Linked DNA regions of Anolis sagrei. The protein of the gene in region 4 purifies or fractionates together with the protein of the main gene of each other region. This does not show direct contact. Links are inferred from orthologs where the notes say so. Each region holds a gene or a part of one and is shown on either strand. Other genes may lie near its edges.

Region 1 (7,715 bases), on a different chromosome or scaffold from region 4:
GCTTTGTAGACTTCCAGGAGAAAAGAAGGAGTTCAGGTTGCTGTGATGGCTGGCTGAAGTCCCTCAGCAGAGGAGCTGTAAGGCTGTATGATCCTCGGCCAAGCTGTGGGGCTGTATAACCCCGGCCAAGCTGTAGGCTGTATATCTCCCCGGCCAAGCCGTAGAAGACTAAGCTTTCTACAGGAGCTCTTGGTTTTATGTCCTGTGTGAAAGGCTTCTCTGTGTGGACTGACTAAAATGGTTCCTCTCTCTTCCCAAAAATCCAGAAAAAGGGGCGGAACCAAAGCTAAATGAAGATGGACAGGGGGCTTGCCCTATGACTGCAAACTATAACAGGAAGCCACCCTGCTGCAAAATCCCAAGCCTGGGATTGCAAACAAACATTTAATTCAAAGCAAATAAAATTGGAGCTCCTGGAACAGCTGTTCCAGAACACCCATTGTAATGTTGTTTTTAACTAGTGTAATCTATATAAATAAAAATACAGTTAGTTTGTAGGATTAACATAACTCAAAAACCACTGGATGAATGAGTGAGGCCAATGAGTGAGCATTGCTCATAAAAACACTGAAAAACACAGCAGAAGGGACTTAAAGAGCCAAAAAAGCAAAAAGATGCTACAGTGCATGTGCAAAAACAACTCCCTTGGCAAACAAAACACACAATAGTATATCCACACTCTCTTCCATACTACAGCTCCCAGTATCACCTAGACCAGGCCCTTTAGGAGAGGAGGATGATCCAAATGCACTGCTTCCTAGATGTAAGCTTGCTTCTTGGATTTCTTTGAGAGCATCCCAATCCTTGCATATTTCCAATTTCCTATTCCTGGACTGCAACTCCCAGCAATCCTCCAGATAGATAGGAAAGGTTCTCAACCTTCCTAATGCCATGACCCTTTAATATAGTTCCTCATGTTGTGGTGACCCCCAGCCATAAAATTATTTTTGTTGCTACTTCATAAATGTGATTTTGCTACTGTTATGAATCGTAATGTAAATATCACATATGCAGGATGTATTTTATTCACTAGACCAAATTTGGCACAAATACCCAATATGCCCAAATTTGAATGCTGGTGGGGTTGGGGAGGGATTGGTTTTGTTATTTGAGAGTTGTAGTTGCTGGAATTTATAGTTCATCTACAATCAAAGAGCATTCTGAATTCTACCAACAATGGCATTGAACCAAACTTGGCACACAGAACTCCCATGACCAACAGAAAATACTGGAAGGGTTTGGTGGACGTTGACCTTGTGTTTTGGAGTTGTAGTTCACCTACACCCAGAGAGCACTGGAGACTCAAACAATGATGGATCTGGACCAAACTTGGCACAAATACTCAATATGCCCAAATGTGAACCCTGGTGGAGTTTGTGGAAAATAGATCTTGACATTTGGGAGTTGTCATTGCTGGGATTTATAGTTCACCTACAATCAAAGAGCGTTCTGAACCCCACCAACGACAGAATTGGGCCAAACTTCCCACAGAGAACTCCCATGACCAACAGAAAATACTGTGTTTTCCTGGTGGTCTTTGGCGACCCCTCTGACGCCCCCTCGCGACCCACCCAAGGGTCCTGACCCCCAGGTTGAGAAACGCTGGATTAGATAGAGATAAGTAGGTAGGTAGGTAAGTAGGTAGGTAGGTAGATGGATCAGGAGGACTGCTGGGAGTTGCAGTCCAGGAATAGGTAGAAAAGGAAGAAAGGGGAGAAAGGGGAAGGAAAAGAAAAGGGAGGGAAAGGAAGGGAAGAGAAGGAAGAAAGGAGAGAAGGAAAGAATAAAAGGGAAGGAGGGAAGGTTGTATTCAGTATTATTACATTCTGTGTTTTTCTTTACATTTGTATTTTTTGTGTCTCAGTTTTGGGAGAAAGAAATGACATAAATCAAGCCCAATCAAATAAAAAATAAATAAATCAGAACATGTGATTGTTAGCCCACAAAAAGCCATTTTTGTTTTACAAAATCTGTTAAATAAACGTAGAAATAATGAGAGAGCCTGCAGGTTAATGGGAGTAAACAAGGCTGGGAAATCTGATACAAGACGTACCTCCGTTCCACTCCCACGACTCATAATCCATTATGAAAAAGATGCCAAACTTGATAGAAGGATGAATGTGTAGATGAATATAACATGTCTGATTTCACTGGGGTTATTCCCGTTCCTCAACTGAAGGACCGCAAGCACTTGAGGAAAATCAACATTAAATTCCGACTAGATTTGAGGTTTTGGGAAGCCATAGGAAATGTTGATTTCAAAGTGCACTTTCTAGTTGCTTTCACCTAAAGTTATATAATGACGACTGATCTTGTATATATTTTAGAAAGAAGTTTACAGGACACAAGGCTCCTGGCATAATAACTCTCAATGCTTTGCTATTACAATTCAGGCTGCAAATTTGGGGTGTTATGAAAGAGGCATTTGTACTTCCAGAGACGGGGAGATCCTGGGATTTTCCGCCTCCCCTTTGAAACCACCTCAATTTTAGTTCTCTGCACCATGAATTAGAGCAGTATTTCTCAACCTGGAGGTCACAAGGGGGTTTCAGAGGGGTAGCCAAAGGCCATCAGAAAACATATACTTCTGATGGTCTTAGGAACCCCTTTGGCAGAGGAGGCTGAAGATCTCTCCACTTGCCCTTCTCTTCCTTTTTGGAAACAGACCGTGAATCCTCCCATCAGCTGGCCTCTCAGCCAAGGGGAGGGCTGTTTCTGAAACTCTGAGCAGGGAGAAGAGAGCAGGTGTGCTCGGCACATAGCACCATAGTAAACATGTGTAGGCGAGGGAGAGCACGTGAGGCTGGAAGGCAGGCTCGCACCAGCAAGTCCCTTCAAGACATGGGGGTTCTGTGTGGGAAATTTGGCCCAATTCTATCGTTGGCCATCTGTCGGGGATGCTTTGAATGCGATTTTCCTGATTCTTGGCTGAATGGGGTTGGACTGGATGGCCCACGAAATGTCTTCCAACTCTAGGATTCTATGAGTTGAAGTCCAAAACATCTGGAGAGAAGAGCCAAATTTGCCCACCCCTGCTTTAAAGGAAGGCCTGCTTTAATATTTCATTTCAATGGGTAACTTCCTGACTGTGATAGCTGTTCAGCAGTGGAACTCTGCCCCGGAGTGTGGTGGAGGCTCCTTCTTTGGAGGCTTTGAAACAGAGGCTGGATGGCCATCTGTCGGGGGTGGTTTGAATGCAATTTCCCTCCTTCTTGGCAGAATGGGGTTGGACTGGATGGCTCACGAGGTCCCTTCCAACTCTAGGATTCTAACTTCTGGACTGTGAGAGCTGTTCAGCTGTGGAACTCTCCGTCCTGGAGTGTGGTGGCGGCTCCTTCTTTGGAGGCTTTTAAACAGAGGCTGGACGGCCATCTGTCGGGGGTGCTTTGAATGCGATTTTCCTGCTTCTTGGCCAAATGGGGTTGGACTGGATGGCCCACGAGGTCTTTTCCAACTGGAGCAATGGCTTCCAACTACAAGAAAGGAGATTCCATCTGAACATGAGGAAGAACTTCCTGACTGTTAGAGCTGTTCAGCAGTGGAACTCTCTGCCCCGGAGTGTGGTGGAAGCTCCTTCTTTGGAGGCTTTTAAGCAGAGGCTGGATGGCCATCTGTCAGGGGTGCTTTGAATGAGAGTTTCCTGCTTCTTGGCAGAATGGGGTTGGACTGGATGGCTCACGAGGTCTTTTACAACTGGAGCAATGGCTTCAAACTACAAGAAAGGAGATTCCATCTGAACATGAGGAAGAACTTCCTGACTGTGAGAGCTGTTCAACAGTGGAACTCTCTGCCCCGGAGTGTGGTGGAGGCTCCTTTTTTGGAGGCTTTTAAACAGAGGCTAGATGGCCATCTGTCGGGTGTGGTTTGAATGCGATTTTCCTGCTTCTTGGCCAAATGAGGTTGGACTTGATCGCCCACGAAGTCTCTTCCAATTCTATGATTCTAACTGACTGTGAGAGCTGTTCAGCAGTGGAACTCTCTGCCTCAGTGTGGTGGAGGAGCCTTCTTTGGAGCTGTTAAGCAGAGGCTGAATGGCCATCTGTCAGGGGGGATTTGAATGCGATTTTCCTTCTTCTTGGCAGAATGGGGTTGAACTGGATGGCCCACCAGGTGTCTTCCAATTCTATGATTCTAACTGACTGCGAGAGCTGTTCAGAAGTGGAACTCTCTGCCTCAGAGTGTGGTGGAGGCTCCTTCTTTGGAGGCTGTTAAGCAGAGGCTGGATGGCCATCTGTCAGGGGGGATTTGAATGCGATTTCCTGCTTCTTGGCCAAATGGGGAGTGTGGTGGAGGCTCCTTCTTTGGAGGCTGTTAAGCAGAGGTTGGATGGCCATCTGTCAGGGGCGATTTGAATGTAATTTTCCTTCTTCTTGGCAGAATGGGGTTGGACTGGATGGCCTCTTCCCTGAGGTCTCTTCCAACTCTAGGGTTCTATGAGTTGAGTCCAAAACACCCGTTTGAAAGGAAGGCCTGCTGTAATATTTCCTTTCAACTGGTAGGAATTGTGGGAGTTGGAGGCCTTTTGAGGCCTGAGGAGGCGCCAAAATGGCGTCCTTGTGTTTTGGACTTCATCTCCCAGAAGCCCTAGTGCTGGAACGACGCGGCTGAGGCTCATGGGGGTTGTAGGCAGAATAAGGAGGAGGAGGAGGCGGGGAAGAAGGGGGCGTGCCTGTCTCCCCGCTCTTCCTCCCAGAAGGCAGCGCGGCGCCTGGCTGGGCCTAGGAGGAGAAGGACGAAGAGAAGCCTCGGCATTTCCTGAGCGCGGCGTCGGCGAGGCCTGGCTCGGGATGCGAGTGTGAGATGCGTCTTCCACCGGCGGCGGCTCTCGGCTGGGCCCCCTCGGCGCCCTCCATGAAGCTCCGGAGCCGGCGCTTGGCCCTCCACAAACACTTCTATAGGACTCAGGCGCCTTGCTGAAGAGGAGACAGAGACAGAAGAGGAGCCCCTTGGAGTGGAGAGAAGCCGAGGACAACTGCGGGAAAAAGGGCCCAAAGGAGCCCCAGAGACAGGCCTCCCTCCTCTTCAGAGGGAGAAGGAGGAGGAGGAGGAGGCCATGGAGGGCCCCGGGAATCAGTGGGGCCGCGTGAGGGAGCAGCACGGCCAGGTAAAGAGGAGAAGGAGCGGGAAAAAGGCAGCGAGGAGAGGCAGGACCTTGTCAGTGGTGGCCCCTCGCTTGTGGAACTCCCCTCCCTAGCGACATCACAGCAGCCCCCCTCCCTAATTAAGAGGAGGAGAAGGAGCAGGAAAAAGGCAGGGAGGAGAGGCAGGGCCTTCTCTGTGGTGGCCCCTTGGTTGTGGAACTCCCCTCCCTAGCGACGTCACAGCAGCCCCCTCCCTAATTAAGAGGACGAGGAGGAGATGGAGCGGGGAAAAGGCAGGGAGGAGAGGCAGGGCCTTCTTTGTGTTGGCTCCTCGGTTGTGTAACTCCCTCCCTAGCGACGTCACAGAAGGCCCCTCCCAAATTAAGAGGACGAGGAGGAGAAGGAGCGGGAAAAAGGAAGGGAGGAAAGGTAGGGCCTTCTCAGTGGTGGCCCCTCGGTTGTGGAACTCCCCTTCCTAGCAACGTCACAGCAGGCCCCCCTCCCTAATTAGCCTTCAGGAAAAAGGAGGAGGAGAAGGAGCGGGAAAAATGCAGGGAGAAGAGGCAGGGCCTTCTCTGTGGTGGCCCCTCAGTTGTGGAACTCCCCTTCCTAGCGACGTCACAGCAGCCCCCTCCCTAATTAAGAGGACGAGGAGAAGGAGGAGCGGGAAAAAGGCAGGGAGGAGAGGCAGGGCCTTCTCAGTGGTGGCCCCTCGGTTGTGGAACTCGAGGAGGAGAAAGAGCGGGGAAAAGGCAGGGAGGAGAGGCAGGGCCTTCTTTGTGTTGGCTCCTCGGTTGTGGAACTCCCTCCCTAGCGACGTCACAGCAGCCCCCTCCCTAATTAAGAGGACGAGGAGGAGAAGGAGCGGGGAAAAGGCAGGGAGGAGAGGCAGGGCCTTCTTTGTGTTGGCTCCTCGGTTGTGGAACTCCCTCCCTAGCGACGTCATAGCAGCCCCCTCCCTATTGAAGAGATCGAGGAGGAGAAGGAGCAGAAAAAAGGCAGGGAGGAGAGGCAGGGCCTTCTCAGTGGTGGCCCCTCGGTTGTGGAACTCCCTAGCGACGTCACAGCAGCCCCCCTCCCTAAATAAGAGGACGAGGAGGAGGACATGTTTCATTGCACTATCTATATAAATAAAAATGCAATGTTCATTTATGGGATTAACATAACTCAAAAACCACTGGACGAATTGACACCAAATTTGGACACAAAACACCTCTCAGGCCAACAAGTGACCATCACTCATAAAAACACTGAAAAACACAGGGGAATAGACTCAAAATGCTAAAAATTAAAGAAAATGCATACCAGCGCATGCACAAAACCACATTTATACACATATACACACACATATACACAGACTGGGCTACAGCAACGCCTGGCAGGGGATGGCTAGTGTATATATATGTGTGTGCGTGTGTGCATATGTAGATGTGTATCTATGTGTATATATTTGTGTGTTTATATGTGTATATGTATACTGTGTATATGTGTGTGCTTGTCTATATGCATAATTGTGTGTATTTATGCGTGTATGTATGTGCATACATGTGTATATGTATATATATATGTGTGTGTATGTATATGTATGTGTGTGTATATTTGTGTGTGCTTGGGTGTATATATATATATATATATATATATACACACACACAAATATACACGTGTGTGTATGTATGTGTGTATGCGTATAGGATTGTATGTATATATGGTGTATTTTGGGGGGTTTAAGTCCATTCTACTGGGAAGGGGGTGTTTTTAGGGGTGATGAACACTCGTTGGACTGTTAGGTATATTTTGTCAAAATTTTGTGTCAAGTCGTCCAGTGGTTTCTGAGTTATGTTAATCCCACAAACTAACATTACATTTTTATTTATATAGCTTAAAATAATAATAATAATAATAATAATAATAATAGTAAATTTTATTTATACCCCGCCACCATCTCCCCCAAAGGGGACTTGGGGCAGCTTCCATGAGGCCAAGCCCGATAATACATAACAGCAAAATGAATACAAAACAAAAATATCATCACAATAAAATAAGTAAAACATAAGAGTAAAATAAAACAGTGCAAAATAAGAAGATGAAAAATCAAACACAATAGGCGGGCCAAATGTAAGACATAAAATGATAAAACACTGGATGAGATAAGAGTGGAAAAAGGTATATATGTAAGGGAGGAGCTAATAATCATAATAGGAGCTAATAATAATAATAATATTACCAACAGCTGCATAAGACCACCATACTGGGATCTGCACACATTATTCGCCGATACATCACACAGTCCTAGACACTTGCGGAGTGTTCGACTTGTGATTCTATACAACAGCCAGCAGAGTGAGCTTGTTTGTTGTGGACTCATCTTGTTGTGCTTCTAATAATAATAATAATAATACATTATTTATACCCTGCCACCATCTCCCCGGAAGGGACCCGGGGCGGCTGACATGAGGCCAAGCCCAAAGATACAATACAGCAAAATAAAATACAAAACAACAAAAATTACATCAGAATAAAATACATACAGTAGCACAATAAAATAAATGAAGCCAAATAACATAATGGAAAATCAAACACAATGGGCGGGCCAAATGCACAAGATAAAATGATAAAATCCTGGATGAGGTAGGA
Region 2 (7,642 bases), on a different chromosome or scaffold from region 4:
GTGAAAACAAGAAGACAGATGCTTTTTTGAGCTGGTATTCATTGGTAGTTTCCCATCCAAGTGATAATCAGTGCTGATCCTGTTCAGCATCCTAGATGAGACTGGATCTGGGGCCTTTGCAGTATGCACAACTCACAATACTGTGAGTCATTAGGGTTTGGTTCCAGGCCTGCTGTTGATACCAAAATCTGTGGATGCTCAAGTCCCATACTATACAGTGACATAGTAAAATAGTGTCCCTTATATAAAAAGACAAAATCAAGATTTGCTTTTGGGATTTGCCGGGGGGGGGGGGGGGGGGGAAGATATTTTTCAAGCTAGATAAAGATTTTCCACTGACATTAAGTCCAGCTGTTTCCGAGCCAGTGTTTTCCGTAGACAACACTGGCTCAAAGTCATGTGGTTGGCAGGACTGCATGGAGCACTGTTACCTTCCTGTCAGAACAGTACCTGTTGATCTACTCACATTTGCATGTTTTTGAACTGCTAGTTTGGCAGAAGCTGGGGCTAATAGCGGGGGCTCATGCTGCTCCCTGGATTTGAACCTGCAACCTTTCAGTTAGCAAGTTCAGCAGCTCAGCGGTTTAACCCACTGCGCCACGGGGTGCTTCCATTTTAAAGCTATGGATGGTCGAATCCATGGATACAGCAGGCTGATTGTGTATTATTTTTCTGAGATATTGCAGTCATTGATATTCATTATCAGTTTCTCATTCAAGATGTGACCAGAGCTGATCCTGCTTAGGAACCAAGATCAGACAGAATTTGTTGCTTTTAGTGTATTTACAGTTCACAATATGGCAATATCTTGTTGCTGAAACTATCTCCTGCACTGCCACATACATATACACCTGGAAGAAAGGACAATCTTATTGAGATATTAAGGCCTTTAGTACTCAATTGCAGTTTTCCGTGCACATTTTCTCCTACATTCCCAAATAATAGACACAACCAGCTCGAACAACCATGAGTGCATCTGCACTGTAAGGAGCCCTTGGTGGCGCCATGGGTTAAACCCTTGTGCCGGCAGGACTGAAGACTGACTGGTTGGAGGTTCGAATTCAGGAGGGTGCAGATGAGCTCCCTCTGTCAGTTCCAGCTCCCCATGAGGGAAACTCCCACAAGGATGGTAAAACATCAAAACATCCAGGTGTCCCCTGGGCAATGTCCTTGCAGTCTCCAGTTCTCTCACACCAGAAGCAACTTGCAGTTTCTCAAGTTGCTCCTGACATGAAAAAAAAACCAACAACACAGAAACATGGATGAAGCAGGACATGGGTGCATCTACGCTGTAGAATTAACACAGTTTGACACCACTTTAACTGCTATGGCTCAATGTTATGAAATCAATGGAGTTACAGTTCTACAAGGACTTGACTCTTCTCTGCCAAAGTCTGCTGGTGCCTCACCAAACTATAACTCCCAGGATTCCGTCGCATGATGCCATGGCACTTAAAGTGGTGTCAAAATGCATTATTTCTACAGCGTAGATGCACCCATGTCCTGCTTCATCCATGTTTCTGTGTGTATAGATGAAAATAATCAATGATAAGATTATGATGGGTTTTAATTCCGCATTGGATGATTCAAAACACAAAGAAACTGCATGCAAAACATGGCAAAGAAGTTGGAGAAAGGAAATGGATGGAAGCAGAACTCACACAATCACTTACAAACCCCGCATAGGGTGTGTTGTTCTTCATATTATTGTGTGCCTCCTCTCAGAACAACCCTATGATGGAGTTTTCTGTGGCTGAGAGGGTGAATTCATCTTCCACATCAGGCATGGGCAAACTTCAGTCCTCTAGGTGTTTTGCACTTCAACTCCCACAATTCCTAACAGTGTAGGTCAATGGTTTTCAACCTGTGGGTTGCCAGATGTTTTGGCCTTCAACGCCCAGAAATCCTAACAGCTTGTGAACTGGTTGAGGTTTCTGGGAGATGTAGGCCAAACCACCTGGGCACCCACAGGTTGAGAACCACTTTTGGTCATGTCAGGAGTGACTCCTGGTGTGAGAGAATTGGCCGTCTGCAAGGACATTGCCCAGGGGACGCCTGGATGATTTGATGTTTTTATCATCCTTGTGGGAGGCTTCTCTCATGTCCCTGCATGAAGAGCTGGAGCTGTTAGAGGGAGCTCATCTGCCTCTCCCTGGATTCGAACCTGCGACCTGTCGGCCTTCAGTCCTGCCAGCACAGGGGTTTAACCCACTGCACCACTGGGGGCTCCTGAGAACCACTGTCCTATGCTGTTAGGAATTGTGGGAGTTGCAGTCCAAAAACACCTGGAGAGCTGAATATTGCCCATGCCTGATCTACACTGTAGAGCAGGCCTGCCCAACTTGTAGCCCTCCATGTGTTTTGCTGGACTTCCGCTCCCAGAATTCCTCACTATTGGACAAGGGTGTTTGGGAATTGGCGCCCCAAACACCTGGAAGGGCTTCAGTTTATGCAGGCCTGCTGGGGAGTTAATGCAGCTTGACACCAATGGGGCTCAATGCTATGGGGGTTGCAGTTTTACCAGGCCAAACTATAACTGGCCAGGGTGCCAAGAGCATTGAGCAGGGAAGAAGAGTGTCAGCCAGGACGCATTCATCCCGCAGCAGCCCTTCACTTGAGATGGAGGATGCCGGCGCTAGGACCCGGGGGGAAATCCTGGGGCGCTGACGCCGCCCAGGCCGAGGCTTCCTGCCGGCCTCTGCTCCTTCCCTCTCCTCGCCTTCCTTGCCTTTACCTGGCGAAGCAGCCCTCGCAGTGGTTGCCCCTCTCGTTGACGGTGAGGACGCAGGTGAAGGCCGGGCAGGCGAAGAGCAGCTCCCCGGGGACGAAGCGGCGCCGGGCTCGGAGACCCCTGCCTCGGCCGGGGCTCTGGAAGCGCGCCAGACCCAGCTCCTCGCCTTCCTTTTCGGAGGAGCGCATGGCGCCGGTGCCGCCGAGGAGGAGGAGGAGGAGATCGAGGAAGAGAAAGAGGAGGAGGAGGAGGAGGCTGGCCCGTTGCTATTAATGGCGCGCCGTCACCCGCAGCGGCGCCTGGCCCCAGAGCCCAAGGCACATACATGGGCAGAGAGAGCGAGAGGGGCAGGCGGAGCAGCAGCAGCACCACAGCCAGCCGTCCACGGGAAGGAGGGCCGCGCCAGCCCGCTGGGTCCTAGAGCCCGTCCGCAGACATGCGCGCTCTAGGACCCAGCGTTTCCATCCCCGCCTAGGTCAAGCGTAGGCCTCGTCGGTAATAGTATGATAGCTGGGTCTGGAAGTGCAGAGCGTTACGGAGAGGCCGCATCGCTCCTTCGGGAGCGCAGTTTGTGGAAGAGAGCCTTAGCTAATGTAAGCCAGGCCGGAGACAGATACTATAGAAGGAATGAAGGAGTTCTTTAATTTATTTATTTATTTGTTTATTTACAGTTCTTATATTCCACCCTTCTCACCCCGCAGGGGACTCAGGGCGGATTACAGTAAACACATATATGGCAAACATTCAATGCCAGTTTGACAAACAACATTTAACACACAAATACACTGAGGCTATTTAACTTTTTTCTGGCCGCCAGGGGAGCTGCTGCTTTTCATCATCCATCAACGACACCGATGAAGTTCTTCCGCATTCCACATTCCCCGGAGTCTTTTTTCTTTATGGCCTCATAAATTAGTTAAATTTAGCCTCCCACACAAGGTGGTACCTTATTTTCCTACTTGACAGATGCAACTGTCTTCCGGGTTGCAAAGGTCGACAACGGGCTACACAATGGCTGGACACCCACTCCAGCCCGGGCTGGCTTCGAACTCATGACCTTTTTTTGGTCAGAGTGATCTTAATGCAGCTGACACTCAGCCAGCTGCACCACAATCCCGGTGAAGCCCTTACCCTAACCCTTACCATAACCCTTACTCTAACCCTGAACCGTACCGTAAGCCTAAGCCTTTACCCAAAACCATACCCTAACCTTTACCCAAACCCTTACACAAACCCTAAACCTTACCCTAACCAAAACCCTAACTCAAACCCTAAATCTTGCCCTAACCCAGTGTTTCTCAACCTGGTGGTCGGGACCCCTGAGGGTAGCCGGCTTCAGCCCCCCCCCCCCCCCCAAATTCTCATGGTGGTTCGCGAAACGTTCTTACTGGTACATTATTTAAACTGTTATGTTTATTCATATCATGATCTGACCACCATACTCAATATATCCCATTTGCATGGGGGTATTGGGGTAATGATACAAAAGGTTTGCTAGGCTAGACCCTCTTTCACTCAGACTCAGCCCCCCCCCCCCGCCCCCCCGAAACAAAATCCTGGTTACGGGCCTGCCCTAACCCTTACCATAACACTAATCCTAACCCTGAACTGTACCATAAGCCTAACCCTTTACCCAAACCCTAAACCAGGGGTCTTCAAACTTTGTAAACAGAAGGCCAGGTCACAGTCCCTCAAACTGTTGGAGGGCCGGATTATAATTTGAAGTAAAAAAAAGGATTCGCATGCACACTGCACCTATCTTATTTGTAGTGCAAAAACCACTTAAAAACAATACAAAAAGTAAAATGAGGAACAATTTTAACATATATAAACTTATTAGTATTTCAATGGGAAGTGTGGGTCTGCTTTTGGCTGATTAGATTGGATTGTTGTTGTGTGCTTTCAAGTCATTTCAAATTTAGGATGACCCTGAGCGAGGGCCGGGTAAATGACCTTGGAGGGGCCCCGGGCCTTAGTTTGAGGACCCCTGCCCTAAACCATACCCTAACCCAAACCCTAAACTGTACCGTAACCCAAACCCTAAACCTTGCCCTAACCCTTACCCTAAGCACCCCCTCCTTTTTATCCTTCCTTCGCTCTCCCCATGCTCACTCCGCCCCCTCTCTTCCCTTATTCACAGCCGCCTTTGCGGCATCTCCGTAATGCTCGGAGCTTCCAGACCCAGCTATCTTACTATCACCCTGGACCATACTGTAAACCTAAGCCTAACTCTTTACCCAAACTCTTACCCAAACCCTAAACTTTACCCAAATCCTTACTCTGAATGCTAACCCAAACCCTAAACCTTACCCTAAACCATAACCCCTTACCCTAACCATAACCCAAACCCTAAACCTTACCCCAACCCTTACCCTAAGCACCCCCCGCTTTTTATCCTTTGCTCTCCCTACTCTCACTCCGCCTCTTCTCTTCCCTTATTCAGAGTCGCCATTGGGGCATCTCCATAACACTTGGCGCTTTCGGACCCAGCTATTGTACTATCACCACCTCGTCTGTGCTGACCATGCATTCAATGCAGTTTGAAGCTAGCTGCAAACCGCATTGTCTGAACTCCTGTGCAAAGCTGCTTCCTATGGTGCCTGAGGGGATTTCCACACAGGCCTATAACCCAGAATATCAAGGCAGAAAGTCCCACAATATCTGCTTTGAACTGGGTTACCTGAGTCCACACTGAGATAATATGGGATTTCTTGCCTTGATATTCTGGGATATAGGGCTGTGTGGAAGGGCCCTGAGTCTGGGTGAACGATATAGCAGCCTAGATTCATGCAGTCCTGTTCAACTGCATTATATGCCATTGTAGATGGGGCCACAGAGCAAGAAACACCCACAAAAGAGTGCAAAATGAAACGCTTCAGTGCTTCATGGTTTGCGGTTCCATCTCCTCTGCCATGTAATGGAGTTTTGAAACTGCATTATGTAGTTAGTGTAGGCTCACAATGCAGTTGAATGGCATTATATGAGTCAACACCAACCTGGAATTGTGCTATGTAGTCAGTGTTGGCTCATAATGCTATTCAACTGCATTATATGAGTCCACACAAACCTGAAATTGTATTATGTAGTCAGCGTAGGTTCACAGTGTCGTTCAATGCAGTTAAATGGCATTCTATAAGTCTACACCAACCTGAAATTGTATTATGTAGTCTAGTCAGCATAGGCGCACAGTGCGGTTCAGTGCAGATAAACGGCATTTTATGAGTCTACACTGACCTGAAACTCCATTATTTAGTCAGCGTAGGCTCACAGTGTGGTTCAATGCAGTTGAATGGCATTATATGAGTCTACACCAACCTGAAACTGAATTATGTAGTCAGTATTGGCGCATAACTCTGTTCAACTTCATTATATGAGTCTAAACTGATCTGAATCTACTTTATGTCATCGGTGTAGACTCACAGTGCTGTTCAATGCAGTTAAACGGCATTACATGAGTCTATACTGACCAGAAACTGCATTATGTGGTCAGTGCAGGCTCACAGTGCGGTTCTATGCAGTTAAACGGCATTATATGAGTCTATATCGACCTGAAACTGCATTATGTAGTCAGTGTTGGCTCATAATGCTGTTCAACTGCATTATATGAGTCTACACTCACCTGAAATTACTTTATGAAGTCGGTGTAGGCGCGCAGTGCTATTCAATGCAGTGAAATGTTATTATATGAGTCTACACTGACCTGAAACTGTATTATGTAGTCAGTGTATGCTCAAAGTGTGGTTCAGTGCATTTAAATGGCATTATATGAATCTACACCAACCTGAAACTGCATTATGTAGTCAGTGTAGGCTCACAGTGTGGTTCAATCCATTTAAACAGTATTATGAGTCTACACTGGCCATATAAGGTAGTTTCAAACTGCATTATATGGCAGCATAGGTGGTGCTCATGTCATCACCATCTGGGGCCCCAAACTGATTCCAGGATTTCTGGTGTAATCATTTGCACAGCGAAACCACTTTCTTCAATACTGGTTTGAAACTAAATTAAATGGTCTGTGTAGATGGGGTCCAGCTCCTCGCTCAGAAAGGAGACCAGATTGACATTAAGCAAGTGGTATAAGGGGGAAAAAATTAAAGGGACAGGACAAAAAGTGCAGAAATATGGGCAGCTAGCCCTGTGTGGGTATGTAGGTATAAGTATATATGTATGTATATGTGTGTGTCATCCTAGCTGCCAACATTTTTGGACTCTTGTCATAATACAAGGTGTTCACTAAAAGGTATGCATCCTTGTTGTATACATTCCAGTGTACACAATCCTATATATACATAGATATATATATATACATACATTCACATATACACATAGGAGTTATACAATAACAAAGTGTATAAATCTGTATATAGGTATGTGTCTGTGCACACACACACATCTACACACACACATACGCATACATACACACACATATACACACATACACACAGAAATATATTCAATAACAAGGTTGCATACATTTTAGGGCACATTTTATTTATTTATTTATTTTATTTAAGGCATTTATATCCTGTCCTATCTCAACCACCGCAGGGGGACTTAGGGCAGCTAACAACCAGCACAGCACAGTGCCAACAACAGAGAAAAACAAGCATAAATATACATATTATAATAAAAACAATGTAAAGCATGAAAGCAGTTTGCCCTGTATATATGTATGGGTTTGTCTGTGTGTACATTTAGGGTTTTGACTTTTGCATATTTGATTGGTCATGGATTTCATTAAAATGTTCTTTAAGAAAATCTAGGTCCTTTAGTTCAATTATATGATTAAGTTACTCTAGTCATGAGGGGAAACATAAGAGAGGTGTCCTCTGTAGGAATTTCCAGGTCTTCCAATGCTATTACAAGTCCACTTCTAGCTAATGTTTTTGATTTTCACAGGAATCCCCT
Region 3 (7,623 bases), on a different chromosome or scaffold from region 4:
TTCCAGTATTTTCTGATGGTCATGGGAGTTCTGTGTACTAAGCTTGGTTCAATTTCATTGTTGGCGGAGTTTAGAATGCTCTTTGATTGTAGGTTAACTATAAATCCCAGCAACTGCAACTCCCAAATGACAAAATCAATCCCAAAACTCAAGGGTTTTCTGTTGGTCATGGGAATTCTGTTTGCCAAGTTTGGTTCAACTCCATCATTGTTAGAGTTCAGAAAGTTCTTTGATTGTAGGTTAACTATAAGCCCAGCAACTACAAACTCCCAAATGACAAAATCAGTCCTGTCCCCACAATCCCACCAGTATTCAAATTTGGGCGTATTGGGTATTTGTGCCCAATTTGGTCCGGTGAATTTGAAAATACATCCTCCATATCAGATATTTACATTACCATTCATAACAGTAGCAACATTACAGTTATGAAGTAGCAACAAAAATAATGTTATGGTTGGGGGTCACCACAACACGAGGAACTGTATTAAAGGGTTAGGAAGATTGAGAAATACTGCATTTGTGATCTCATCACACTAGAGAATGAATCTAATTTAAATCCAGTTGCTGCCTCCTGCAGAATTCTGGGGTTTGTAGTTTAGGGAGGATACTTTAACAGCCTCGCTAAACTACAAACCCCAGAATTTTGCAGGAGGCAGAAAGTGAATTTAAACTGGATTCATAGTGTGATGAAGTATTAGGTGAATCTAGAATGAATGCAGATGGACATCACTCTCACTGCCATGGCTCAATGCTATGGAATCCTGGGAGTTGTAATTCTATCCCTTTTAACTGCAAGAGCTCAATGATTTGGAGTTTTACAAGGCCTCCCTTGAGTCTTGTCAAAAAATGCTGTTGCCACCCTAAACGACAACTCCCATGATTCCATTGAGGCACTGAGAGCATAATAAGCATTCATTCTAAGGTGTAGATGCCCCCAAGGCAAGACCCACGACTCCTACTCACCTTTCTAGGTTCTTCGACCACAGCTTCCTCAGGGATGACGGTTTAGTATTCCTTTCCGTGGGGGAAAGGGCCCCTCTAGATGCCCTCTCCGGTTCCCCTTCGCTTTGCTGCCTTTGTGCGTGTAAACACTGGAGCCGCGCGGCTGAGTCTTGGCCGAGAGAGAGAGAAAAAGATCAAGGTTTCGTAACACACGGCGGACCTTCCCGGAAAAACAAAGAAAACATAAACACTCGGGGCGCAATCCACGCCGAGAAAGAGAGGGAGGGAGCCCTCGGGCCCTTGTACCCATCCGGAGAAAGGTGGGACAAAAACACAGCCCATGAACCCAGCCACACGAAGAGCACGTTTTCATCTACACTGTGGAAGTTCAACAGTTTGACACCACTTTAACTGCCATGGAATCCTGGGAGCTGTAGTTTGGTGAGGTCTCACTACTCTTGCCCCCGCCATGATTCCATAGCATTGAGCCATAGCAATGATAGTGGTGACAAACTGCATTCATTCCACAGTGTAGATGCACCCTCAGTCTGCATCCATCCATGTTGACTTTATTATACTGTATGCAGTTATTTGCCAAGGCTCAATGCTATGAGTTGTAGTTTTACAAGGTCTTTAGGCTTTTCTACTGGTGCCTCACCAAACTCCCAATATTCCACAGCACTCAGTAAAGTGGTTTCAAAGTGTGTTAATTCCACAGTGTAGATGCAACTTCAGTCCGCATCCATCAATGTTGACTTTATCATACCGTTAGTATGCAGTTAATTGCCATGGCTCAGTGCTGTGAGTTGTAGTTTTACAAGGTCTTTAGGCTTCTCAACGGGTGCCTGATCTAAGTACAACTCCCAGTATTCCATGGCACTCAGTAAAGTGCTATCAAAGTGTGTTAATTCCACAGTGTAGATGCACCCTCAGTCTGCATCCATCCATGTTGACTTTATTATACTGTTAGTTTGCAATTAATTGTCATGGCTCAGTACTATGAGTTGTAGTTTTACAAGGTCTTTAGGCTTCTCAATGGGTGCCTGATCTAATTACAACTCCCAGTATTCTATAGCTCTCAGTAAAGTGGTATCAAAGTGTGTTAATTCCACAGCGTAGATGCACCCTCAGTTTGTATTCATTCATGTTGATTTTTTATACTGTTATGCAATTAATTACATTGGCTCAGTGCTGCGAATTGTAGTTTTACAAGGCTTCTCAGCAGGTGCCTGATCTAACTACACCTCCCAGTATTCCATGGCACTTAGTAAAGTGGTATCAAAGTGCATTAATTCCATAGTGTAGATGCACCCATCCACGTTGACTTTATTATACTGTATGCAGTAAATTGCCATGGCTCAGTGCTCTGAGTTGTAGTTTTACAAGATCTTTAGGCTTCTGTACTGGTGCCTGATCTAACTACACATTCCAGTATTCCATAGCACTCAGTAAAGTGGTACCAAAGTGTACTAATTCTACAATGTAGATGCACCCTCAGTCTGCTTCCATCCATACTGACTAGAAAACAGGATGATTCTCATGGAGCATCTACACCAGGCATGGGCAAACTTCAGCCATTCAGGTGTTTTGGACTTCAACTCCCACAATTCCTAGCAACCTACCAGTTGTTAGGAATTGTGGGAGTTGAAATCCAAAAGACCTGGAGAGCTGAAGTTTGCCCATGCCTGATCTACACTGTAGAATTAATGCACTTCAACACCACTTTACTGAGTGCTATGGAATACTGGAAGTTGTAGTATGGTGAGGCATCAGTAGAGAAGTTTTAAAATCTTGTAACACCTTGTTAAACTACAACTCATAGTATTGAGTCATGGCAATTAACTGCATACAGTCTGAATGGTCAGGTTAGGAGAAGAGAGGCACTGTAGAATTAGTGCACTTTGACACCACTTTACTGAGTGCTATGGAATACTGGGAGCTGTAGTTTGGACAGGCACCAGTAGATAAGGCTAAAAACCTTGTAAAACCTTGTTAAACTACAACTCATAGTATTGTGTCATGGCAATTTACTGCATACAATCTGAATGGTCAGTCATTCGGGTTAGGAGAAGAGAGGCTCTGTGGAATTAAGACAGTTTAATGCCACAGATGCAGATTGAGGTGGCATCTCTGCAGTAAAATTAATGCACTTTGACACCACATCAATGAGTGCTATGGAATACTGGGATTTGTAGTTTGGACAGGCACCAGTAGAGAAGGCTAAAGACCTTGTAAAACTACAATTCAGAGAATTGAGCTAGGGCAATTAACTGCATAACAGTATAATAAAGTCAACATGGATGGCTGCAGATTGATGTGACATCTACACTGTAGAGTTAACACACTTTGATACCACATGGCTGAGTGCTATGGAATACTGGGTGTTTGGTGAGACACCAGTAGAGAAAGCCTAAAGACCTTGTAAAACTACAACTCATAGCACTGAGCCATCTACACTGTAGAACCAATACACTTTGAAACCACTTTACTGAGTGCTATGGAATACTGGGAGTTGTAGTTTGGTGAGGCACTAGTAGAGAAAGATGAAGACCTTGTAAAACTACAACTCATAGCACTGAGCCAGGGTAATTAACTGCATAACTGTATAATAAAGTCAACATGGATTATGCAGATTGAGGTGGCATCTACACTGTAGAATTAACACTCTTTGAAATCACTTTATTGAGTGCTATGGAATACTTGGAGTCAGGCCCGTAGCCAGGATTTCGTTTGGGGGGGGGGCTGAATTTTTTTCAGGGGGGGTTTCAGGGGGGGCTGAGTTTGGGGGGGGGCTGAGTCTGAGTGAAAGAGGGTCTAACCTAGCAAACCTTTTGCATCATTACCCCAATACCCCCATGCATATGGGATATATTGAGCATGGTGATCAGATCGTGATATGAATAAACATAACAGTTTAAATAATGCACCAGTAAGGCCTTTTCGTGAACCACCATGAGAATTTCGGGGGGGGGGGGGGGGCTGAAGCCCCTCAAGCCCCCCTCCCCCTGGCTACATGCCTGCTTGGATTTGTAGTTTGGTGAGGCACCAGTAGAGAAAGCTGAAGACCATGTAAAACTACAGCTCATAGCACTGAGCCAGGGCAATTAACTGCATAACAGTACAATAAAGTCAACATGGATTATGCAGATTGAGGTGGCATCTGCACTGTAGAATTAGCACACTTTGATACATTACTGAGTGCTATGGAATACTGGGAGTTATAGATTGGTCGGGCACCTGTAGAGAAGGCTGAGGACCTTGTAAAACTACAGCTCATAGCACTGAGCCAGGGCAAGTAACTGCAAAGGAGTATAATAAAGTCAACACGGATGGATGCAGACTGAGGCTGCATCTACACTGTAGAATGGAGGCAGTTTGACACCAGAATGCTTTCCACAGTGTTATAAAGGATGTGAGGCGCAGGGGAGAGGACACGTGTCTTCATTTTGCACCGAGTAAGTGACACGCGAGTTCTATCCCACTCCAGAGACAAGTTGGGACCCCTTCCCTCAGGCAGCGGGTTGTGAAAAAAGGAAGGCGGTGCCATGTTTTCACACAAACACACACAAAAGGAGAAGCGGCCAATGGCGGGGAAGCGGTACCCGGACGGACAGGGGCGGGGGCCAATGGGAGCGCGAGGCGGGGCTTCACCCGGGGGGGACTGGCGGCCAGCGCCGGTAGCGGGTGTCATTCTCGGCAGGAGCCACAGAGGGAGGAGGAGGAGCGGCGGGGCGAGGAGCAGGTACCCGTGGGCCATTGGCTGCCTTCCCGGCTCCGTGGAGAGGAAGAGGCGCGCTGGTTCCCAAGGGGAGGGGGCCCACCTTGTGCCCAGAGAGCGCCTTCCCCCCTCGCGGTATCAGCCCATCCATAACTCTTCCAAGAGGCGTCGTAGGGAAGCATTGCTATCGCTGTGAGTGAGGAGGAGACGCTGCTCGTAGGCTGAGGAAAGGGGGAGCAAGGCTGGAACTGGAGGGGGAAATGTGATACCATACTACGCTTGGGATAATAGATCCATCTCTGCATTGTCGAAGGCTTTCATGGCCGGAATCGCTGGGTTGCTGTAAGTTTTTCGGGCTGTATGGCCATGTTCGCTCCTGAGACCTCACAACCTCTCGGAGGATGCCTGCCATAGATGCAGGCGAAACGTCAGGAGAGAATGCTTCTGGAGCATAGCCAGACAGTCCGGAAAACTTCTACAACCCAGATCCATCTCTGCTTCTTCCCCTTCCTGCTTTGCATGTGTTGTTGTGTTCTGTACTCCGTGTGTTTTCTGTTCTTCCCATTGTACAAACTCCACGTTTACCACGGAGGGAAAAGTTAATGATGTCTTGTCGAAGCTTGTTGTGAGTTTTCCAGGCTGTATGGCCATATTCCAGAAGCATTCTCTTCTGTCGTTTCTCTCTCTTGTTTTGGTGACTTGAGAAACTGCAAGTCGCTTCTGGTGTGAGAGAATTGGCCGCCTGCAAGGACATTGCCCAGGTGATGCCAGGATGTTTTGATGCTTGACCATCCTTTGTGGGAGGCTTCTCTCATGTCCCTGCATGGGAAGCCAGAGCTGACAGAGGGAGCTCATCCGCGCTCTCCCCGGATTCGAACCTGTGACCTGTCGGTCTTCAGTCCTGCCGGCACTGTACCACCAGGGGCTCCTGACTTTTCTCTCAGGCAGTAAGAAGCCAGAACTTGAAACTGCTAGGCCATTCAATGTTAATCAAGGTGGCCAATGATCAAAGGCCTGGAGACTATGAATCCCTATGAGGAGTGTCTTGAAGAGCTAGGGAATGTTTAGCCTGCAGAAGAGAAGGCTGAGAGGAGATAGTAGCCATGTATAAATATGTGAAAGAGTGCCATAAGGAAGAGGGAGTAGGCTTCCTATCTTCTGCCCTGGAAACTAGGACTCGGAGTAATGGGTTCAAATTACAGCAGAGGAGATTCCACCTGAACATTAGGAAGAACATTCTGGCGGTATGAGCTGTTCAATAGTGGAACTCTTTGCCTTGGAGTGTAGTGGACGCTCCTTCATTGGAGGCTTTTAAACAGAGGCTGGATGACCATCTGTCAGGGTTGGAAAAAGTGGATTGAATAATAGAATTATAGAGTTGGAAGAGACCTCGTGGACCATCCAGTCCAACACCCTGCCAAGAAGCAGGAAAATTGCATTCAGAGCACCCCCAACAGATGGCCACCCAGCTTCTGTTTAAAAGCTTCCAAAGAAGGAGCTTCTACCACACTCCAGGGCAGAGAGTTCCACTGCTGAACAGCTCTCACAGCCAGGAAGTTCTTCATAATGTTCAGGTGGAATCTCCTTTCTTGTAGTTTGAAGCCATTGTTCCGCATCCTAGTCTCCAGGGCAGCAGAAAACAAGCTTGCTCCCTCCTCCCTATGAATTAGTCTCACATATTTATACATGGCTATCATGTCTTCTCTTGGTCTTCTCTTCTGCAGGCTAAACATGCCTGGCTCTTTAAGCCGCTCCTCATAGGGCTTGTTCTCCAGACCCTTGATCATTTTAGTCGCCCTCCTAGATGGCCCATGTGCTCTCTTCCAACTTGTATTATTCTAATTGAAACATTCACATCTCCCTCTAACAGACAAGAGTTCTTTCTCCCACCTTGGACCTTCCACGGATATTTAAACCCCATTTTCCTAGTTTCCAACAAACCTCACAACCTCTGAGGATGCCTGTCATAGATGCAGGCGAAACGTGAGGAGAGAATGCTTCTGGGACATGGCCACACAGCCCGGAAAACTCACAAAAACCCAAAGTTAATGATGTTGTGATGAGCCGTCCTCTCTCTTCCTCTCTCTCTCCTCTTGGTGCCTCATCTTCATTATGTAAGGAGGAGGTGGAGAATAACAGGCTTTTCTCCCCTCCTTTTGAGGGAATTTCAGATCTCATATTACTTTCTCTCTCCCCCCCCCCCCCCCCTTCTTCATATTGTCAGGAAATTGAAAAGATAGCAACCAGAGGTTGGTTGGTTTGTTTATTGGAGGGAAAAGAGGCGTTTTGTTTTCCCCATTCAAACCCGCCGTCAGCTAACTCCGTGGGCTTCCCAAGCAGACCTCACAACCTCTGAGGATGCCTGCTATAGATGCAGGCAAAACGTCAGGAAAGTATGCTTCTGGAACATGGCCATACAGCCTGGAAAACTCACAGAAACCCGGTGATTCTGGCCATTAAAGCCTTGGGAAATACATCTTTTGTAGTTTGTGGGTCAATGTATAACACTTCTTGATGTCATACAGGTAGTCCCCAAGTTACGGATAAGATAGGTCCTGTAGGTTTGTTCTTAAGTTGAATTTGTATGTAAGTCGGATTTATTTACATTTGTAAGTGTAACTCCAGTCTGTCTGTATGTCTGTCTAGACAAGGCTTGGGCAAACATGAGCCCTCCAGGAGTTTTGGACTCCAACTCCTACCATTCCTCACAGCCTCAGGCCCCTTCCTGAGGCTGTGAGGGCCTGAGGCTGTGAGGAATGGTGGGAGTTGGAGTCCAAAACACCTGGAGGGAGGGGCGAAGTTTGCCCATGCCTGGTCTATAAGCTTTGGGCAGTATACAAATAAAGTATTATTATTATTGAAAAATTGGTTTGTTGTTGAAACAGGGATTGGTGATAAAGCTTCAATTGAGACTCCTTTTCCCCAGGATAACTCTTCCAAGAGTGATTTTCCCTTCCAAGGGG
Region 4 (7,498 bases):
ACACATTATCCATACACTCCCAATTTTACAGTTGCTACTGAAAAATCACTCCAACGAATAGATCCATTGTGTGAAGAATTTCATCAACTTCTGCTTGTTTCTAAACCTTTAATGAAACTCTTGCCAAGTGTAGATTTCTCCTCACGTTTTTTAACATATTTGTTATTCAACAAGTGATATTATTATCCTAATAGGAATAGGCATGTTTCATCCATACTTCACCAATTATTTTACAAGTCCTCTTCTCTCAGTTTTAAATACTGGTCTCTCAACTAATTAGATATGGTTAGGAATATTGAAAAACTATTACAATCTTATAACAATTGTATATTATATATTACATGTAATATTACTAATAAAATTGCAGTATAGTGGCATAGTACAATACAGTACTATATAGTACTAATATTGCAGTGTGCTAATAATATATATATAATATTGTAATACTAATATATTAAATATAATTACTACTGATAATATATAATATATGTTAGAAACAGTATCATACGAAAGCTGACTGGCACAACCTGGGGATCACAACCAGATACAGTGAAGACATCTATCCCTGTGCTATGCTACTCTACTGCTGAGTATGCATGCACAGTGTGAAACACATCTCACCATGCTAAAACAGTAGATGTGGCTCTTAATGAGACATGCCACATTATCATCGCGTGTTTGCGCCCTACACCACTGGAGAAACTACACTGTTTAGCCGATATTGCACCACCTGACATCTGCCAGGAAGTAGTAACCAATAGTGAAAGGACCAAAGCAGTGACATCTCCGGCCCACCCCGTTTGGGTATCAGCTAGCATGCCAACGACTTAAATCAAGAAATAGTTTTCTAAGATCTACAGAGACACTCGCTGGAACACCTCAGCAAGCGAGAGTCCAAAAGTGGCAGGCTCAAACTCAGAACCTCAATCAATGGCTGATACCAAATGAGAGACTCTCTCCTGGGCACACAGAAAACCGGGCACCTTGGAAGGCACTGAACAGACTGCGCTCTGGCACCATGAGATGCAGAGCCAACCTTAAGAAATGGGGCTACAAAGTTAAATCCATGACATGCGAGTGTGGAGAAGAGCAAACCACAGGCCACCTACTCCCATGCAACCTGCGCCCTGCTACATGCACAATGGAGGACCTTCTTGCAGCAACACCAGAGGCACTCCAATTGGCCAGCTAGTGGTCAAATGACATTTAATAGAATACCAAGTCTGTGTTTTTTTGTTTTTTAATGCAATACACCTGTTTTGGTTCGCTCTTGACACGATAAATAAATAAATATACTGTTTAATTATAGTATATTTATAGTATATTTTAAATTGTAATGTTTTTGATTCTAAGCTGGGATAAAAATAAATAAATAATCCATGTTTTTAAAGTAACATTTCTAGGACACCACATTAATTCAATTTCTAGCCTCATATGCTGCACTGGTATCTTCTCTCACTAATTTTGCACCTTGCTTTTCTTTGTCCCCTTTTCTCCTGACTTCATCTCTCACTCTGGGAGCCTCAAAAGAAAGTGACTCCAACCCTCTTTTCAAACTCACAACAAAACTTGGGTCACAACTTAGACCAGCAACCATTTCCCATCTCTCAGCACATGTTTTAATTTACTCCACGAGACAACTGAATCGCCTGTTGCCAGATTTTATCCTAACCATTACCTTTAACTCCTGTATCCTTTGGGCCCATCAGTTGCATGGCCCAGATTTGTTCAGGCTGTGTTCAAAGAAACATCTCATACTCTCCAGTATAAAGATTTGATAGTGTATTTAATAGAAAATGAGAGTGCTCTGTAAAACCCCAAGGGTTTTCTTCAGATGGAGAACAAACTATCTCCACATGAAGGGGTCCTTCTCCCAGGGCCCTTCCATACAGCCATATAACCCAGAATATAAAGGCAGAAAATCCTACACTATCTGCTTTCTTTAAATACCAATATGTACATATATGTGTACACACATATATATGTGTGTGTGTATGACTGATATATGAGATAGCCTAAAGTCACAAAGGGGGATTTCATATACATTATATATAAGAAATAAGTTCATGTTATGTGTGAAAAAAAAGTAAATGGTGTCCAATATCATATCATATCATTTTAAATACAATTAAAAACATAACATATAATAAAATCTAAACATATAAAAGTAATATTAAAACCTAACATCAGTACATTATACCTGACATCAACAAATTACACTATATGTAGTAGGCAAAAATCTAAAATAACATAAATCTAAACAAAATATCCACATTAGTTTTGTGAGCCCAGCAAGCAAGGGTTCACAAAACCCAACCAGCAAGGGTTCACGAAACGGTGTGGGTTGGTTATATAGTCAGATGAGGTCACTGGGCTGGTGTGGACCAAAAAAAAGCCGAAATACAAATAGTACTCAACCAGAGGCCCGGCAATGATCTCTCGACCATCTAATCCTCCTTCCCCGGAATATTTTCCCTTGGAATATTTTCAAACTGGGCGGGTGTGGGGTTTGAACCCGTGGATGCCGGATCCGTGCAGCCTGTCGATATGAATAAGAGAACCCGGCCCATCTCCCGCCCCGGCGTCCTCAGGAGACGCCTGCTGCCCTCATGCCTTCCCTCCTTCCTTCCTGGCCCAGCCATTGCTCTGCCAACCCCTCCTCACTCACTCACATGGCAAACGGTGTTAACAGCAGCGGCGGCGGCGTGAGTCTTCTCCGCTCTGTCCTCCGTCTCCCTCCAGAGAGCTAGTCCGGGGAAGCCTTCTTCTCCCAAGGGCGCAGGGCTGAAGGTCCCTCGGCAAGGGCGAGAAAGCGCGGGCGAGGGCAACGGCGCCTCCTTCCTTCCTTCCTTGCCTCCTTCCTTCTCTCCCTCTCCAGGCTCAAAAGCCGAGTGAGGCCTGCTACCCACAAAGCACCGCGCGCTCACCCGCCCGCGCGCGCGCTCTCCCTGGCTCCCTCGCGCTCCTTCTCCAACGACGGCTCCCCAGAAGCTGGTGACGCAGCAAAACGCCCACCCCTCCCTCTTCCCTTCTCCCTTCCTTCCTCCCTCTTTCTCTCTCTCCCTCCCACTGGAGCCCGTCCGACTATGGACGCTGACAAGGGCGCATGCGCACCACTCGCCACCTCCTTGCCGCTTCGCCCTCCTCAACGGCGCGCACCTACCACAAACGGCCGGATGTTTCGTTCTCGCGCATGCGCTCCCTCGTCCTCTGCCTTGCGCACGCGCAATTCCATCTTTCGAGCACGTTCTCTCGAGGCGCCTCCGCCCGTTGGGCCGGGCCGGCTCGCACCCCCGGCGCATGCGTAGTTGCACTTTTCGCGCATGTTCTCCCTCTCTCTAGGCTTGCCAAGCTTCCAAGCACACTCCGGCGCATGCGCCGTAGAAGAAGACGAGCCTGTTCTTGATATTTGCCTCCCCCCACCCTATAAATTGTCAACCAGGTGAGAAAATTAATTCTGCTGGTGAAGTTGAATATTCATAATCATTTATGTCTGATGCTTTGTGTGCATTCAAACAATCAAGTGCATATTCAAAGCCACTGTGTGCACTACTGGGTTGTGTCTTTTCCGGGCTGTAGGCCATATACCAGAAGCATTCTCCCCTGACGTTTCGCCTGCATCTATGGCAGGCATCCTCAGAGGTTGTCACAATATGGGCATATAGCCCAGGAAACACAACAACCCAGTGATTCCGGCCATGAAAACCTTCTAGAACAGTGGTTCTCAACCTACCTAATGTCGCGACCCCTTAATACAGTTCATTATGTTGTGGTGACCCCCAACCATAACATTATTTTCGTTGCTACCCCATAACTGTAATTTTGCTACTGTTATGAATCGTAATGTAAATATCTGATATGCAGGATGGATTTTCATTCACTGGACCAAATTTGGCACAAATGCCTGATACGCCCAAATTTGAATACTGGTGGGGTTGGAGGAGATTAATGTTATCATTTGGGAGTTGTAGTTCCTGGGGTTTATAGTTCGCCTACAATCAGAGAGCTTTCTGAACACCAACAATGGAATTCTATCAGACCTGGCCATACAGAAATACCATGACCAACAGTAAATGCTAGAACGGCTTGATGGGCATTGACCTTGAGTTTGGGAGCTATAGTTCACCTAAATCCAGAGTGCACCCTGGACTCAAACAATGATCAATCTGGACCAAACTTGGCACGAACACTCAATATGTCCAAATGTGGACTCTGGTGGAGTTTGGGGAAAATAGACCTTGACATTTGGGAGTTGTAGTTCCTGGGATTTATAGTTCACCTACAATCAAAGAGCATTCTGAAGCCTACCAAACGATAGAATTAGGTCAAACTTCCCACACAAAACCCCCATGACCAACCATAATACTGTGTTTTCTGATGGTCTTTGGTGACCCCTCTGACACCACCTCGTGACCCCCCCAGGGGTCCCGACCCCCAGGTTGAGAAACACTGTTCTAGAAGACATTGTGTGCACTATGTTGATTTGCTGCAGAAAAAAGGAAGAAAATTGTGTTTGATCCATTGAGTGACCCACACAAAAACTCAGAAGTGAAATAAAGCAGAATTGTTTTTAAAATAGCATAAAATATACATTATTGAGTAGATAGAGATACAGTTAGAGACATGGACCTAACAACATGCTTCAGATCATGAGTTTTTCTCCAAGGACATTTTCATTTAGTCCTTATTGGTGCTTCACAATGTACCAGTATATTGTTAGATGCAGTAGTCAATATTCTAGGTGTGTCTGCTAAAGCCGGCAGTCAGTCTGTCTGTTTCCAAAGGTATTATAAAAACAGTTCCAATCTCACCACAGAATTATTCATGAACACTGTTCCCAACACAAGACCGGGATTCAAGCCAGAGAATACATTACAAACTGGAGGGAGAAAGAATAAGGAAAGTAAAACAGATAGATGAAATGTTTTTTAAAACCTGATTATCCAGCATGTTGACATTTCTGAGGGATAACCATATCCCTACTTTGTTAGCTGGCCCTGATTGTTTCATTCGTGTTTGGGTGCTGCATTTGGGGGTCCTTATGTAGACTTGTCCACAACTGCATGGTATACAGTAGACATTTGCAGTTACAGAAAGGAGGAAACTATGAAAATGAACAAAATGTGGCTACCAGTATTAAAAAACTTTAAAATCAGAACAATACATTCAGAGGAACACTAAAAAAAGGGGAATTTCAGACAGAAAACCAGGGCCAGATAACCCCTCCCAACAAAGGATTCCCCAGACAGGAAGCAGACAGGCTTTGAAGCTGCAAGGTCATTAAATACAGATCAAGGTGGCCAGTTGCAACATTCACACCTGCCTCAAGCAGACGAGAGCTCTTTCTCCAATCCTGGACATTCCACAGATATAGATACCTCACTTGCCTAGTTTCCAATGTACCTCACAACCTCTGAGGATACCTGCCATGGATGTGGATGAAAGATCAGGAGATAATGGTTCTGGAACATGGCCATACATCCCAGAAAACTCACAGCAACCCAGTGATTCCGGCCACAAAAGCCTTCAACAACACAATAATCACCTCTCAGGGTCTCAAAATCAGACTCAACAAGGAGAGTCCGGAGCCCTGGCGAGACAAGTGAAGCACCCCAGATTTTTCCCTAATTTTTCCCAAGTAAAGTCTCACCAAGTTGAAGAAAAGCCACCGAGTTGTATTTATTTTGTCCCAGCTGGTACAGATGTCAAACCGCAATCTCTTGCCAAAGTCGACATGTTTGGGAAGGGAGAAAAGGGTACATTTTATAGAAAATACAGAGTTGTCAGATTCAAACTTCCCGCCCCCTGCCCCTCTGCTGGCTTCGCGCTGATTGGCTGGAGTCATCAGCTGGAGGGAGGTGCGGCCGGCTTAGGCACGCCTCAGCCAATGGAGAAGCCAGCACTGCTTCAGCTCCTGAGCCAATGGAAGTCGAGGAGGCGATACAAGCAGGAAAACAATTAACCGAGAGGAAAATGAGTGGATTAAATGGAACTTAATGGTTTGTCCGATGGCCGGCAATAATCCGGACACTCCTCAAGATGGCCTGGTATTGTCCAGTAGTGTTGAAATATACAAAAGTGGCTGGCACAGCTGCCCAACCTTGATAATCTTCAGTTAAGGATATGGGATCAATTGATGATATCTGTGTGTGGATTTCAGCCGAGGGTGCAAAACAATGAGTGAGTCGGATGGGACATCCTGATCTTCCCTGAAGGCAAAATGTCCCATTGTTGACAAGTGACCAGGTTCACCATGGGGTGCCTTCCTGGGCGGTCATGCTCCGAGACCCAGGATGCACCATTGTTATTGCCATGCAATAAATCTTTGTTGGAGTCCTTAAGTCAATGGGGAATTCATCTCAGGAAATAGGAATTTCCCAAGGGTTTGCCATGCTGGGGTCACGAAAAAGTGGCTTTCCATATTTTTATACATAGACACATATATGGGGTTCATACAGCATGCACAGGGGAAAAGGGGGAAAAGGAAATTAATATAGAGAGTCATAGAGAGTCCAATATCATGAAGTTCATAGAGAGTCCAATATCATGAAATCATATAGTCCCTAAGTCATAAAAGGGAGTCCATGGGGCTTGGGGAAAGAGTTCCAGAAAGTTTCCAAAATGTTTTAAAAGTTGATAAAAGTTGTAAAATCCACAGGAGGCAAGTTGGAAAAGGTGCCCCAGAGTCAGAGTTCTTATGAGGTGACTGCCAGCACTGGAGATCAAGATCCACGGAGAGAACTACAGATCCTTCCTCACCAAGGACCAAGGCGGCCTGCTGATATCTTGGGTATCCTATGGGGTGACCGCGACAGTTTTCCAGGATCGGCAGGCTCACTGGGCATCCATAAAATGGTGGCAACGAGGCAGTATCTTCAGGGAAACAGCTGGGCTCCAGTTTGAGGTTTTGGAGGCAAAAATTGTTATTCCCGGGGCGGAAGGCTTAGTGGAGCGAAACTGAGATAGCCATTAATCTTAGAATTCCCCCGGAGAAGAATGGCACTGATTTTGAAGCGATCCGTTGACTCACGGATACAGGGGCCCAATGGGTTTACGTATCTACCGTTCAGAGGAACGCAGTTTTGGCCTCCCCAGGACGTGAAAATTGCATCCTGGGCAGGCTGGCAGCCATCTGCAGCCTGGGAGAGGAAAGATTTATACTGAGACGAGTTTGGAGGCAGTAAAAGACACAAAGTAACACTATTGAGAGAGAAAAAAATACAATTAATTGGTACTTTATTGGGGGGATTAGTTACAGTGTTAGGAAGGGGAAGAAAATGAAGTAATAAGAAGGCTTCTGGGTTGGAGCTGCTGCTGTGGCCACATTCATGGAGGCTGGCCCAAGTGGGACAATAGAGAACTGAGGAACTCCCTGCTGCAGGTCAGATCAGCTTGAAAGCAGGGAATTCTAGGTTTGACCTCAGTTTGTTGTAACATGCCCTTTGCAAGCCCATTATTTCCAAGCAGGCAAAAATTATAAATAAATAAATAGGGGTTA

What was found.
Region 1: the proteins of PTGES3 (region 4) and URI1 purify together in Homo sapiens (affinity purification with mass spectrometry; 3 studies listed by BioGRID and IntAct, with this or other methods). This does not show direct contact. The link is inferred for Anolis sagrei from reciprocal best matches to the Homo sapiens genes PTGES3 and URI1.
Region 2: the proteins of PTGES3 (region 4) and SMYD2 purify together in Homo sapiens (affinity purification with mass spectrometry; 3 studies listed by BioGRID and IntAct, with this or other methods). This does not show direct contact. The link is inferred for Anolis sagrei from reciprocal best matches to the Homo sapiens genes PTGES3 and SMYD2.
Region 3: the proteins of PTGES3 (region 4) and FKBP5 purify together in Homo sapiens (affinity purification with mass spectrometry; 4 studies listed by BioGRID and IntAct, with this or other methods). This does not show direct contact. The link is inferred for Anolis sagrei from reciprocal best matches to the Homo sapiens genes PTGES3 and FKBP5.

Annotation. Positions count from the first base shown.
Region 1 is NC_090028.1:40,036,980-40,044,694, forward strand, and holds the start of URI1 (unconventional prefoldin RPB5 interactor 1), read left to right. Parts: upstream 1-4,696; 5' UTR 4,697-5,053; coding exon 5,054-5,104; intron 5,105-7,715. UniProt on the Homo sapiens protein: Involved in gene transcription regulation. Acts as a transcriptional repressor in concert with the corepressor UXT to regulate androgen receptor (AR) transcription.
Region 2 is NC_090021.1:33,551,204-33,558,845, reverse strand, and holds the start of SMYD2 (N-lysine methyltransferase SMYD2), read right to left. Parts: upstream 3,009-7,642; 5' UTR 2,920-3,008; coding exon 2,735-2,919; intron 1-2,734. UniProt on the Homo sapiens protein: Protein-lysine N-methyltransferase that methylates both histones and non-histone proteins, including p53/TP53 and RB1. Specifically trimethylates histone H3 'Lys-4' (H3K4me3) in vivo. The activity requires interaction with HSP90alpha.
Region 3 is NC_090024.1:186,143,893-186,151,515, reverse strand, and holds the start of FKBP5 (peptidyl-prolyl cis-trans isomerase FKBP5), read left to right. Parts: upstream 1-4,618; 5' UTR 4,619-4,684; exon of another isoform or gene 4,685-4,852; intron 4,853-7,623. UniProt on the Homo sapiens protein: Immunophilin protein with PPIase and co-chaperone activities. Component of unligated steroid receptors heterocomplexes through interaction with heat-shock protein 90 (HSP90).
Region 4 is NC_090022.1:137,197,317-137,204,814, reverse strand, and holds the start of PTGES3 (prostaglandin E synthase 3), read right to left. Parts: upstream 3,010-7,498; 5' UTR 2,675-3,009; coding exon 2,673-2,674; intron 1-2,672. UniProt on the Homo sapiens protein: Cytosolic prostaglandin synthase that catalyzes the oxidoreduction of prostaglandin endoperoxide H2 (PGH2) to prostaglandin E2 (PGE2).